Linked DNA regions of Danio rerio. The main gene of each other region encodes a partner of the protein of the gene in region 2 in a complex. Links are inferred from orthologs where the notes say so. Each region holds a gene or a part of one and is shown on either strand. Other genes may lie near its edges.

Region 1 (4,043 bases), on a different chromosome or scaffold from region 2:
TTTCGGTTAACGGTTTATCGATTATTTTGACCATCCCTACCCGCGGAAACTTCCTCCTATGCTGTTTCTTTAACCTGCAAGTCTTTATATTACAAATTATATAGATCATACAGTACTGTATGCTTCTCAAGCTCTATGAGTAGTGTCATTCATGTCTACAGTTAGAAGACAATCGCCTGTGATCTCATGTCATTTAGTTTTTCATTGTCAGGTTGTTGTTGGCAGAGTCACAACTCGTGTAAAGGATGAGACAGACAAGAGTAATCAATGCCTGCCCTTCTTTAACTTATTTTCGTTTTGTCAGGTTCACAGTGCAAACAGCTCCCAGGTGGAATAACTTGAGTGAACATAAAACAAAGCTGAATAAAACTTTCGAGAGGGGTCTGGATGCAGACCTGGTGCAGTGCAATCTGGGCTGCACCCAATGCTTTTTAATGGGCTCACCTAACCCCAACCCTAACCCTACCCCTCACAGTGACGTCACTAGCTACATTTGAGTGCATTGTGTCTGACATTGCATCTCTGAGTGATGCGGTCTCAGGTTGCAACATAAAGGCTGCATTCAGATACTCTTGAAACTTTGCTTCAGCTGCACAGCACACAGCGAGCTCACATCACCCAGCATGCGTGTCGAACTACACTACCCACAATACACGCCGCTATGGACTACAACTCCCGTAAACAGCAGTCTTAAAGTGGCCACTTCCCCTCTCCTGCAACACTAGTGTGCAACTTAAGCAAAACTGATACTAAAGTTGTTTTGAACTTGGTTTTGTAGTTCGGACCTAAATAAATATTTGTTGCAGTTTTTGATCGTTTGAGTTTATTTGATTGACTAAATAAAAATCAGTTGATAATATTAGCGCATTTATTAGGTAAAATTGCTACTTTCTACTGTCATTCAATGTGTTTTGGTCATTAGCAATGCACTGTCACTTTAATTGAGCGTGAGCAGCATGGCAAAAATAGACCCAGCGACGAAACTGCTGCTTCAGCGACGCTTACGACTCACGCTGATGCGCTGCTGCTGTGTGAGGTATGAAAGATCTAATCTGTTAACATGGATGTCGAAAAAACACACTCTGCTCATGCTCTGCTCACGCGCCACTTACGCTTGCCATGTGAAACAGGCTTAACTCTAGTTAAACACACCTGATCAAACTACTGCAGTCCTTCAGGCTTGTTTGAAACTAACAGGGATGCATGTCGGAGCAGGGTTGGAACTAAACTGCAAGGCTGCGGCTCTCCAGGAACTGAGTTTGACAAGCCTGCCTCAAAGGGACTTCCTTAATACTCTGTTGTAGTTAATATTACCAAAAACAAACATTTTTATAAAATAAATAAAACCAACAGTATTATTGTAAATGTGCTACAAGTAATATACTATTATTATAATAACAACAACAACAACAACATGTTAATAATATTAACATAGCATTATTATCAAAAATATATTATTTACACTAATATAATCAGTTATATTTCTTAAAATGCTAATAAAATTAGAATATTAATTGTATACACTACAAAAACCAAATATATTAATAAAATTTTAATAATGATGACAATAGCGTAGTATCATTTTGCGATTATGTAGTAGTAATTTATATACTCATATACTATCAAATGAAAATTAATCTAATAGTATTAAGATAAACTGCAACCGTGTATTAAACTATTTAACGATAATAAAAATACATGTATTAACAAGCTGTTTATATATCAACATAACAAATGAATGCATTAATTTGACTTGCAGCTTAAGATGTATATTTTTTAATCATCATGTAGTTTATGTACTTAGTTTTCTAAAATACCATTTGTCTATATTAAAGTAATTTTTTTTAATAATATATCAGTTTTTATACATTGTAAATTCATTTATTATTGTTACTCTTATGAAGCATAATATACAAATCATTATATAAATGATGTAATAACAACACAACCACCTTTATATAATAGCCAGTCACTATGGACTTACAAGGCTCTACCTGATATTGCCTATTTTTATTCTGTGACAAACTCGCATTATGTAATGTGTGTGGTTTTTTTTATTTTTTATCTAATTTTATTGACATAGCCGGATTCCTAGAAAATATTTGGGGAAAAAAAATTTATTACTCAAAACCACTGTGCATGCAGAAAGAAAACATTGAATCTATTATACTTAAACAAACGAACAGGCTTTCTGACTCACCGACTAGGACAGAGGTCTCGCAGTTTCCTATCGATGACTCCAGCATTAAAGCTCTGCTCCACAAACCGCTCCAGGATCGAATAGGCACACGGCACGTCGATACTGATGTCCGGCATGTCCAGATACACCCGTTCAAAGCCCTGCAAGAGGATGGAGCTCAGATTACACATGCTCATCAAGCTGCAGTAACTCGATGTGAGCAGCAGCTGGCGCTTCATACCCGTCTCATCTGATCCACAGTAATGATGGTGGAGGAGCAGAGACACTTCAACAACTGCAGGAGCATCTGAAGCGTCCGCTCGCCTGTAGACTCCAGCACCATGATCACTGCCTGAGGTAAAAAAAAAAAACAAGCATCATTAATAAAAGAGCAAACCACTAATCAGCAGCCTCGTGTTCTTCCTTTCACACTGTATTCAATATTTTAAAACAATACAAGACACTACAAGCAAAAACTGCATTCATAAACAGATAAAGTCAATTATTCGGCCTCCTGTACATTTTTTTTCTTTTTTAAATATTTGCCAAATTATGTTTCTTAGAGCAAGGATGTTTTTCACAGTATTTTCTATAATATTTGTTCTTCTGGAGAAAGTCATTTGTTTCGTTTCAGCTTGAATGAAGGCATTCTTTAAAAAAAAAAAAAAAAAAAAAAAAAAAAAAAAAACATTTTAAGGTTACAATTATTAGCCCCTGAAGCAATATTTTGTTTTTCCGATTGTCTACAAAACAAACCATCATTATACAATCACTTATCTAATTAATCTAATTAACCTTGTTACGCCTTTAAATGTCACTTAAACGGTCACAAAATATGTTTTTTTATATGGTGACAGTTATATGTGTCCCATGCTCCTGAAAAAACACTATTAGGACACACGTTTAACAAAAAAATTTGAAAAATGGTTGTTTTTGCATTATTTCCAGAAAATTCGTTCTTTGTTTATTCGTTACGTTCTGTACAATGTGACATCTTTTTTAGCATTAATTCATAAAAAAAAGACTCGACTCAAACCAAACTTCATTAACATGCATGATAGCTTCGAAGAGCATTTTACCTGTTACAGTGTTCAGACATCAGAGAGACGCCATGTTGTGTTGCCAACCGTAATTAAATAAATGGAAGAAAATTTGTTTAGAAACATGGGTCGTCAGTGTTGCTTTTATAAATTTATTACAGTGGTCTGCTAACACACGACTGTCAAATGAATTATCGCGTTGAAAAAAAAGTTCGTACACATGGATGCATTGAAAAAATGCCGCCTTTTCTTCCGTTTATCAGCCAGTTTCTTGAACTTTCTCCTTTTTATGAGCTAAAACTTTGAGATCTTAAAAAGCTGTTCGGCATGTATTATTTTGGCTTATTTAAACAATTATAAACAACATAAAACAGAAATATTTTGATGTTATTTGGTATATGGTATGTTATTTTAAAATAATTTTCATCCAGTATTCAGATTTTTAAGGTATAAATGTATACAAATTATTCACTTGTTAAGTGTGATGTTCCGTGAAGCGACTTCCTGGTCCAGGCACTCTAACTGTATGGAGAGGCTCAACAAATGGTAATAATAAACGCTTACAAGGTGATGTAATACTTTCGGAAATCATGATCACAATGTGTGTGTGTATATATATATGCCTAATATTCCATGGCCAGAAAGTGGAATGGATTTTTTTTATTGTGTGTACACCATGACTTTATACAAAATTCACTTTATTGTGTGATATGCAACTAAAAAGTGGTCATAAATGAATATTATGAGTAGCAGCTTGGACTCGGAAACAGTATTTCATATGTCACGACCTAACAAGCGGATTGGGCTGAGTGATTAATCAAACT
Region 2 (3,062 bases):
GATGGATATAGTTCTCTCTGTTGGTTGGAAGGTCATAGTTAATGACCAGGGAAACCTGCTGTACATCAATGCCTCTTGCCTGAAGATAAAATATACAAAAATCAGACCTTTGTGATTGCTTGAGGATCTGGCGAGCACATTATAGACAGAACTATACATTTGAGTGATAAATCTTGTTTGGAAAGTCCTTGTGGAAGATGATTTCAAAGCAAATGTATAGATGAAAGTGACCAATGATTTAGATCGAGAACGTAGGTGCACTAATTATTGTATACACCTTTTCTGAAAGATTAAAGCCATTGTGCTTGAAAAGTGTGAATGTCAACTGCTTATATTAGTGTTAAGGGATTTTGAGACCCCGTCACTGTGGGAGCAGTTTCAATAATCTCCCAAAGAACATGATCTCCATCACAGCACTGATTACTGGTGGAAGAGGGATCTTTGGATGTGAAAGCTTAGTGTGTAGATTTGCTTACCAGCAGATCAGTGGTGATAAGCACTCGGCTGGAGCCGGAACGAAACTCTTTCATGATGACATCTCTCTCCTTCTGCTCCATGTCACCATGCTATGAAGTCAAAGAAAGTGGAAAGTCATAAAAAGGAATTTATGAGCAGCATGAAAATGGTCATTAAATGTAAACAGTTGAACGGATGACAGTGAACAGATGGAAGACCATATCAGCTATGTTTTGAAACGGAGGTCTCAGATTACAGCCATCAAGATTAATTTAGAAATCCTATTCATTAAGTCAACCACTAAATACACTGGTCGACAGGGTTTAAAATGTTGAGCTGAACCATTGTAGATAACTCGCATTCTTACCAGTCTAACTCAAAAAGCTTACAGCACTGGTATAATTAAGATGTCAAAAGAACAACAAACAGGATCCCTCTCTGGATCTTTTCCCATCGTCTGCTTGCTTATATTTATATGGTCAACGCTGCAAGCTTACATTGTAACATTGACTGAAAGGATTAAAAAAAAAAAAATAAAGTTCATACACTAACCCATCCATAGATCATAACCTCAGAAAACAGGAAAGTGGCCAAAAGACAGTTTAAACCACTAAAGGAAGAGGTGTCTCACCGAACTATGATCCAAATAAATTAAATACAACACCATCAGTTATAAATGACCCACCCAATAACGTGTAGAGAGTCTATTTCAAGTAAAAAGCCTAATCATGATATGAAAATGTCATCTGCTTAATTAGTTATGAAGAGGGACTGAAGAGCCCAATCATTGTGGAGAGCAGCTTCTTTACTCTACCAAAGAACTTGATACCCATCACAGCACAGAGCGCTGGCAGGTGAGGGAACTTTGGTGTATTCAGGAAGTACATTTTAAAAATGACTGAAGGGGTTTGCTTGAGTGTTTGACCAGGTTTTGAAAATCCTCATTCGAGAAAACCTTTCACTTACCAGAGCAGAAACGGTAAAGTCCCTTGCGTGCATTTTCTCAGTTAGCCAGTCCACCTTCCGGCGAGTGTTGATGAAGATTACAGCCTGAGTGATGGTCAGGGTTTCGTAAAGGTCACACAATGTGTCCAACTTCCACTCCTGTAATACAGAGAAAACTGCTCTGTAAAAGGATACTTTTCTTTTAATTGAATTATATTTAAGATTAACCACTAAGTAGTGCCGTTTTCAGATTTAAAAGTTAAGATCAAGTTCCCAGAGTCCTACAGGCTCAAAATGCACTGTTGAGCAAAACGCTCATCAGACATTGAGCACTGCAGGGAGTCTGGGATCAGTTGACACGCATGGGGATCATCACAAAACAGCCTTATAACTGTCACTAATCACTGCAAACCATAAACATGACAGCTCACATTCCTCTCAACTCACCTCCTTCTCAACATTAATGTAGAACTGCCGGATACCCTCAAGGGTCAGCTCTTCTTTCTTAACTAGGATACGAACGGGATCCCTCATGAACTTTGTAGTCACCTCCAGCACCTCCTGAGGCATGGTGGCAGACAGAAGAATCACCTGTGAAAAAAGGTAAGACCCTCTATTAGGTTCAGGCCTCAAAATAAATTGAGACCATAAAGATTAATAGTTGGACTGATCAAAGCAAAAAGCAGCCATATTCAAACCTTTAATAAGTATGTATGTATTTTTTTTTATTTAGTGCCATGTCAGCAACCAAGGCTATCTTCATGGCAGGAATCTTTCAACAATAAATATACAATTTAAAAATCAACAAACAAAATAAAACAAATTAAGATGTGTGTTAATACATGATAAAAATTCTAAAATCTTTTCTGGTTTCACTTTGTCAAAAATGTCCTTAAAAGAGTTCATTTCATAAAAAGTCTTTCTGGAATCAGTAAAAGCAGGACAGTCCAGTAAAATATGTTTTACAGTAAGAGGAGTTTTGCAGCACAAACACCGAGTAGGGTTTTCACCTTGGAGCAAAAAACCATGTGTTATTCTCGTATGCCCAATACGACATCTGGTAAAAACTACTTGATCAAATCGATTCTTAAAATGTCTTACAATTCTGTGTGAAACTTCAGGTTGGATTTCCTTTATGAAGTAAAAAGTAAAACAAATATTTTTTTTTAAATTTAATGTCAGCTGCTTAAATAGTTATGAACAGGGACTGAAGAGCCCAATCATAGTGGAGAGCAGTTACTTCACTCTACCAAAGAACTTGATACCCATCACAGCACAGAGCGCTGGCAGGTGAGGGAACTTTGGCGTGGATGCACACAAAATAATATAGACTTGTTTACCTGAGTGTCTGTGGCCAACTTCTGAAAAATTTCATAGATTTGGTCCTTGAAACCACGACTTAACATTTCATCTGCCTCATCCAGGGCAAACATCTTTATATATTTAGGAGCTGGAGGAGAGGTGAAAGAAAAAAAAAAACGCAAATTAGCCAATTAAATAGAATTAAAAAAAAAGAACAAAACTCAAATTCTAGAATTAGACTTGAAATCAAGATGAACCAAATCAAGTACTTACAGAGATATCTGCGGTTGAGCATGTCAAACACACGGCCAGGGGTTCCGACCACTATGTGGGGCACATCAGCTTGAAGCTTCTGAACA
Region 3 (4,043 bases), on a different chromosome or scaffold from region 2:
AAATGTTTCCTGTGATTTTGGGGTTAAACAGCACTATCACTGTAACTCCCCTGTACATATTCCTACTGATCTTGGTGTATAATTGTTTCTGATTCCAGAGGCCGTGTGTGAACACCGTGCAGCATGAGTGGTTCCGAGTATCCAGTCAGAAGACGGCTGTGGCGGAGATGGTGGAGGACTATCTGAATGCGTTCAGAAGCATCTCTCCTGCCCTGCTGCAGCACATTGTAAACATGGCCGATGGCAACGGCAACACCGCCCTCCATTACAGCGTGTCCCATTCCAACTTCCACATTGTCAAGAAGCTACTGGAAGCTGGTTAGTACTGTATATGGGAGTCTCTATTTCAGCATTTTTCTTTTAAAACTGCTTATGTTTGGTAAGTGTGAAGGCAGCGTGACTGAATGGTAAAACTTTATAGTATATTGCTGTCATAAATCAGAACTGTGGATTCAAATATACTGATTTGATTCAGTTCTGATTCACAAGCTCTTTTTTCAGTTTGATTACATTTTTTATTTCATTATTAAATGTAAATTAAATACCAGTGCTATTTGTATGTAAGCTAATAGCTAATTCTCCGTCCACATACAGAATCATTCTGTTTGATTTTCCACTTTTCCTTCTCCAAAAAAGTACCAAAGAGCTCTATGAATACCCTATGATGAGGTGCCTCGACTCCTGCAAATAAAAGCCCATTATCCCATCGCCTTTGTGCTCCTCTACTATCTGACTCTTTTCGAACGGCCCTCATTGTTTCAATTGTCTGCTTCCATTCTCATTCTCCTCTGGCCATCTTTGGCCTCATTGCCAGTCAGTGAAGCCCCGCTTTGCTCCTTCTCTTCATCCACAATCCATGACTCTCCTTCTGAATAGCCTGCGTGTCCCTTCTCTGAAGTTCAAACAATAGAAGACCTCCTTCCAAATGCATTACTCCAATGGTGGGCTCAGCGGTGTTTCTGATTCCCCTGCTCTCTCTGTTTCATCACAGATGTCTGCAATGTCAATCAGCAGAATAAAGCAGGCTATACGCCCATCATGCTCGCAGCGCTCGCCGCCGTAGAGGCTCCGAAGGACATGAGGGTGGTCGATGAGCTGTTTAGTAAAGGAGATGTCAATGCGAAGGCCAGCCAGGTCAGTGGGATACTAAAATTGTTTGAGCATTGATTTAAATAAATGCTTGGGGCAGGTTGTATTTATGTTTGAAGAAGTGTATCATCAATTATATGAATTATTGCACAAATTTACATAACACTCTACAAAATTCTGCATTATTTCAATACAGTTTTGAGCAAAATATGCACAAAATCAATTAAGTTTAATGCTTAATCCAGTCTGGATTGAAATAGTACAGTATTTTTTGGAATTAAGTCCAGAGTTGGCAAATAAACAATTGACAATGGTATGTTTACATATATAAGTCTAAACCCTATTAACATTTGACTTAGTGGTCAGTGTCTAAACTGTTTTCTTTGATGCAGGCTGGTCAGACAGGGCTGATGCTGGCTGTCAGTCATGGCAGAATGGACATGGTGAAAGCTCTGCTAGCCTGTGGTGCGGATGTCAACATCCAGGACGACGAGGGCTCGACCGCGCTCATGTGTGCCAGTGAACACGGCCATGTGGAGATAGTGAAGCTGCTGCTGGCTCAGCCAGGCTGTGATGCCACTCTCAGTGATAATGTGAGTCCCCACAACCCTTCCCAAGTCTGTATGTATGACATGTCAGATTCATTTCACATACTAGATGCTTGTATTCTTGTGTTGTGTAGGACGAAAGCAACGCATTGTCTATTGCTCTGGAAGCAGGACATAAGGACATCGCAGTCTTGCTGTACGCTCATATGAACTTCTCCAAAGCTCAGTCACCAGTGAGTGATCGTATTTTTACATTCAGCCGATTCATAATGCAGTCATTTAAACCAGTTAGTTCTGTTCATTCTTGTTTATTTTCAGCTGTGAAACAATGGTCTGGTTTACCTCGTGACAAACTAATTAATGGCAAAACGATTCAAAGCATGTGTGTACGATGCAAGAACTATCTACTGTATGTGTGGTTAAAAAAAAAATCAGTCAGTGTGTTTACAGTATGTTCATGCTGTTCTGATGATTGCATTCTGAATCACACTCACTGTATGTGATCCCTTACATACAGATAAATCCCAAGTGGGCTTAAGGGGTTAATTAACCCAAAAATAAAAATTCTGCTATTAATAACTCAGCCTCATATCATTCCAAACCCCTGAGACATTCATTCAACTTCAGAACACAAATGAAGATATATTAAGTAAGATCTGAAAGCTCTCTAGTCCTCCATATAGTAGGGACCCTAACTTCCTCAAAGTAAAGACAAATACTTATAACATTAGCAGTAGCGGTTTTCCACTCGCCGCTATTGTTGGTAGAGTGATCAAGTTTATATACACGTACATGCCAATAAAGTCTTTATTTTGTTCTCCAATAAAGCTTATCTCCAGAAAATGTAGCTATGAGCATTGATGTTTAAATATTTCTGAAGTTTTTTATAAATATTTATGACCTTTGATGCAACCGAATTCAATAGACTACTACTGTATGTCAAAACTGTTTGCTACCTAGCCACACGCTTACCCCTTTCCTTTCCTGTGCGTTTGAACACAGAGGTTATTATTTGCAGTCTTGTGAAGCCAATGGGAAAATCTTATGGGGATTTTATCAAGGTAACCAGTTTAATGCTAGCATGCCTACAAGGTGACATCGTTCATCCACTCTATGCAGTACTGTCAGATATGCAGAATTATACTGCCACCCAGTGGCTAAATGCTATCTTGCAATGTATGGTCAAACGTTTTCAAGACGGTCCAAATACCTACTGTTGTTTAATTGGACTAATGTCAAGCCACCGGAATAATTTTGTGTGCACATCAAACAGAACTAATGACTTTATTCAACAGTTTTCTCCTCGTTGTCAGTATAGTGTCACGTTTACTCGTTACGTTTGGTCGTTCTGCTGATGCATTACCTCTAATCCATGCTTTTTTTTTTAAAGAGGGAAAATTGTGCATGGGCATTCAGGAGTGAATGTATCACTGCACAGTACTCGTGAACGTACACAATATACTAAGGAGAAAAAACTGTTAAATAAAGTCATTATTTTTGTTTTATGTGCACAAGGATTCACGTATAGTTCTATTTAAACCACTAAAGGCATATGGTCTGTTTTTTGAGGATGTTTTTGGGTATTTTTCTGGACTTTAAGCAAGAACCGCGCTCTCTAGGGAGAAGGAAGGAGCTCTCAGATTTCATCTAAAATATCTTATAATATGAAGGTAAGGTCTCAGTTTAGAATGACATTAGTAATTAAGGTCGCGTTTTATATTAGGGGGCCTTAACTACTATGTACTTGCATAAAAAACTAAATACAATGGACTTTATGTGTTTATAATGTATTGCAGAACACTTCTGGTGGGGTATGGGTAGGGTTAATAACAGGTTTGCTGTTATCAATAGGGTTAAGGTGTAAGGGATGTCAACAGTGTAATTAAAAATGTAAGAAATTGCAGAAATTAATTAAACATGTAAATTCATGCCGGTATTTTATCAATCATAAGTACAATGTAAAAACATGTATTTACACAATAAACACATTGTAACAAATTATTAATTTCAGTCTAAGTCCATATTAGTTAAAGGCACCTAATATAAAGTGGGACCGTTAATAATAACGTAATTTTCATTTTTTTGCGAACTAACCCTTTAAAAAGCCATGAAATTCCCAGGACCAGGATTAACAACCACTGCTTTTTTTCTATATTTTTATACCAATTTAGGTTTTCTTTGCTTTCATATTTTTTATCAACATGTTTTCTGGAAATTAATCCTCGCTCCTGTAAACCGGACATTGCAAAGGTTTTGAAAACATTTTAAATGTCTGTATTTCAGTTTCCCTCAATACATATCAAGTTCCTTTTGAATTGAATACAATTGAAAGCAAAAAAAAGAAAAAAAAAAGAATGTACAATCTCATTAAATAACAAGCAGAAATTATAGTGGCTTTCTATTTAA

Evidence for each region. The genes of interacting proteins can lie anywhere in the genome.
Region 1: the proteins of eif4a1a (region 2) and pdcd4b are in contact, whole or in part, in a crystal structure (PDB 2ZU6), measured with the Homo sapiens proteins. The link is inferred for Danio rerio from reciprocal best matches to the Homo sapiens genes EIF4A1 and PDCD4. Residues at the interface, in NP_001407.1 of Homo sapiens: Gln75, Thr109, Arg110, Glu111, Ile135, Gly137, Val140, Thr158, Gly160, Arg161, Asp164, Glu186, Leu188, Ser189, Arg190, Gly191, Phe192, Gln195, Ala214, Thr215, Met216, Pro217, Glu240, Leu241, Thr242, Asn280, Thr281, Arg282, Arg283, Thr329; in NP_055271.2 of Homo sapiens: Pro170, Gln173, Glu174, Glu177, His178, Glu183, Glu186, Met187, Asp190, Leu209, Glu210, Lys212, Glu249, Leu250, Leu252, Asp253, Thr254, Pro255, Arg256, Gly320, Gln321, Gln322, Ser323, Val324, Leu327, Glu348, Lys352, Glu355, Val356, Pro357.
Region 3: the proteins of eif4a1a (region 2) and kank1a are in contact, whole or in part, in a crystal structure (PDB 7DDX), measured with the Mus musculus proteins. The link is inferred for Danio rerio from reciprocal best matches to the Homo sapiens genes EIF4A1 and KANK1. Residues at the interface, in NP_659207.1 of Mus musculus: Lys99, Val140, Arg141, Val144, Gln145, Lys146, Leu147, Gln148, Met149, Glu150, Ala151, Arg168, Arg169, Tyr170, Ser172; in NP_852069.4 of Mus musculus: Gly1168, Asn1169, Asn1171, His1175, Tyr1176, Val1178, Asn1201, Lys1202, Ala1203, Tyr1205, Met1209, Leu1210, Leu1213, Ala1214, Ala1215, Gln1240, Ala1241, Leu1248, Ser1251, His1252, Arg1254, Asp1273, Glu1274, His1285.

Annotation. Positions count from the first base shown.
Region 1 is NC_133197.1:31,538,546-31,542,588, forward strand, and holds part of pdcd4b (programmed cell death protein 4b), read right to left. Parts: intron 2,532-4,043; coding exon 2,421-2,531; intron 2,341-2,420; coding exon 2,201-2,340; intron 1-2,200. UniProt on the Homo sapiens protein: Inhibits translation initiation and cap-dependent translation. May excert its function by hindering the interaction between EIF4A1 and EIF4G. Inhibits the helicase activity of EIF4A. Modulates the activation of JUN kinase.
Region 2 is NC_133182.1:26,543,514-26,546,575, forward strand, and holds part of eif4a1a (eukaryotic translation initiation factor 4A1A), read right to left. Parts: coding exon 2,977-3,062; intron 2,852-2,976; coding exon 2,742-2,851; intron 1,993-2,741; coding exon 1,849-1,992; intron 1,783-1,848; exon of another isoform or gene 1,644-1,782; intron 1,561-1,643; coding exon 1,423-1,560; intron 567-1,422; coding exon 477-566; intron 80-476; coding exon 1-79. UniProt on the Homo sapiens protein: ATP-dependent RNA helicase which is a subunit of the eIF4F complex involved in cap recognition and is required for mRNA binding to ribosome.
Region 3 is NC_133180.1:45,819,572-45,823,614, forward strand, and holds part of kank1a (KN motif and ankyrin repeat domain-containing protein 1a), read left to right. Parts: intron 1-98; coding exon 99-318; intron 319-991; coding exon 992-1,134; intron 1,135-1,481; coding exon 1,482-1,682; intron 1,683-1,771; coding exon 1,772-1,870; intron 1,871-4,043.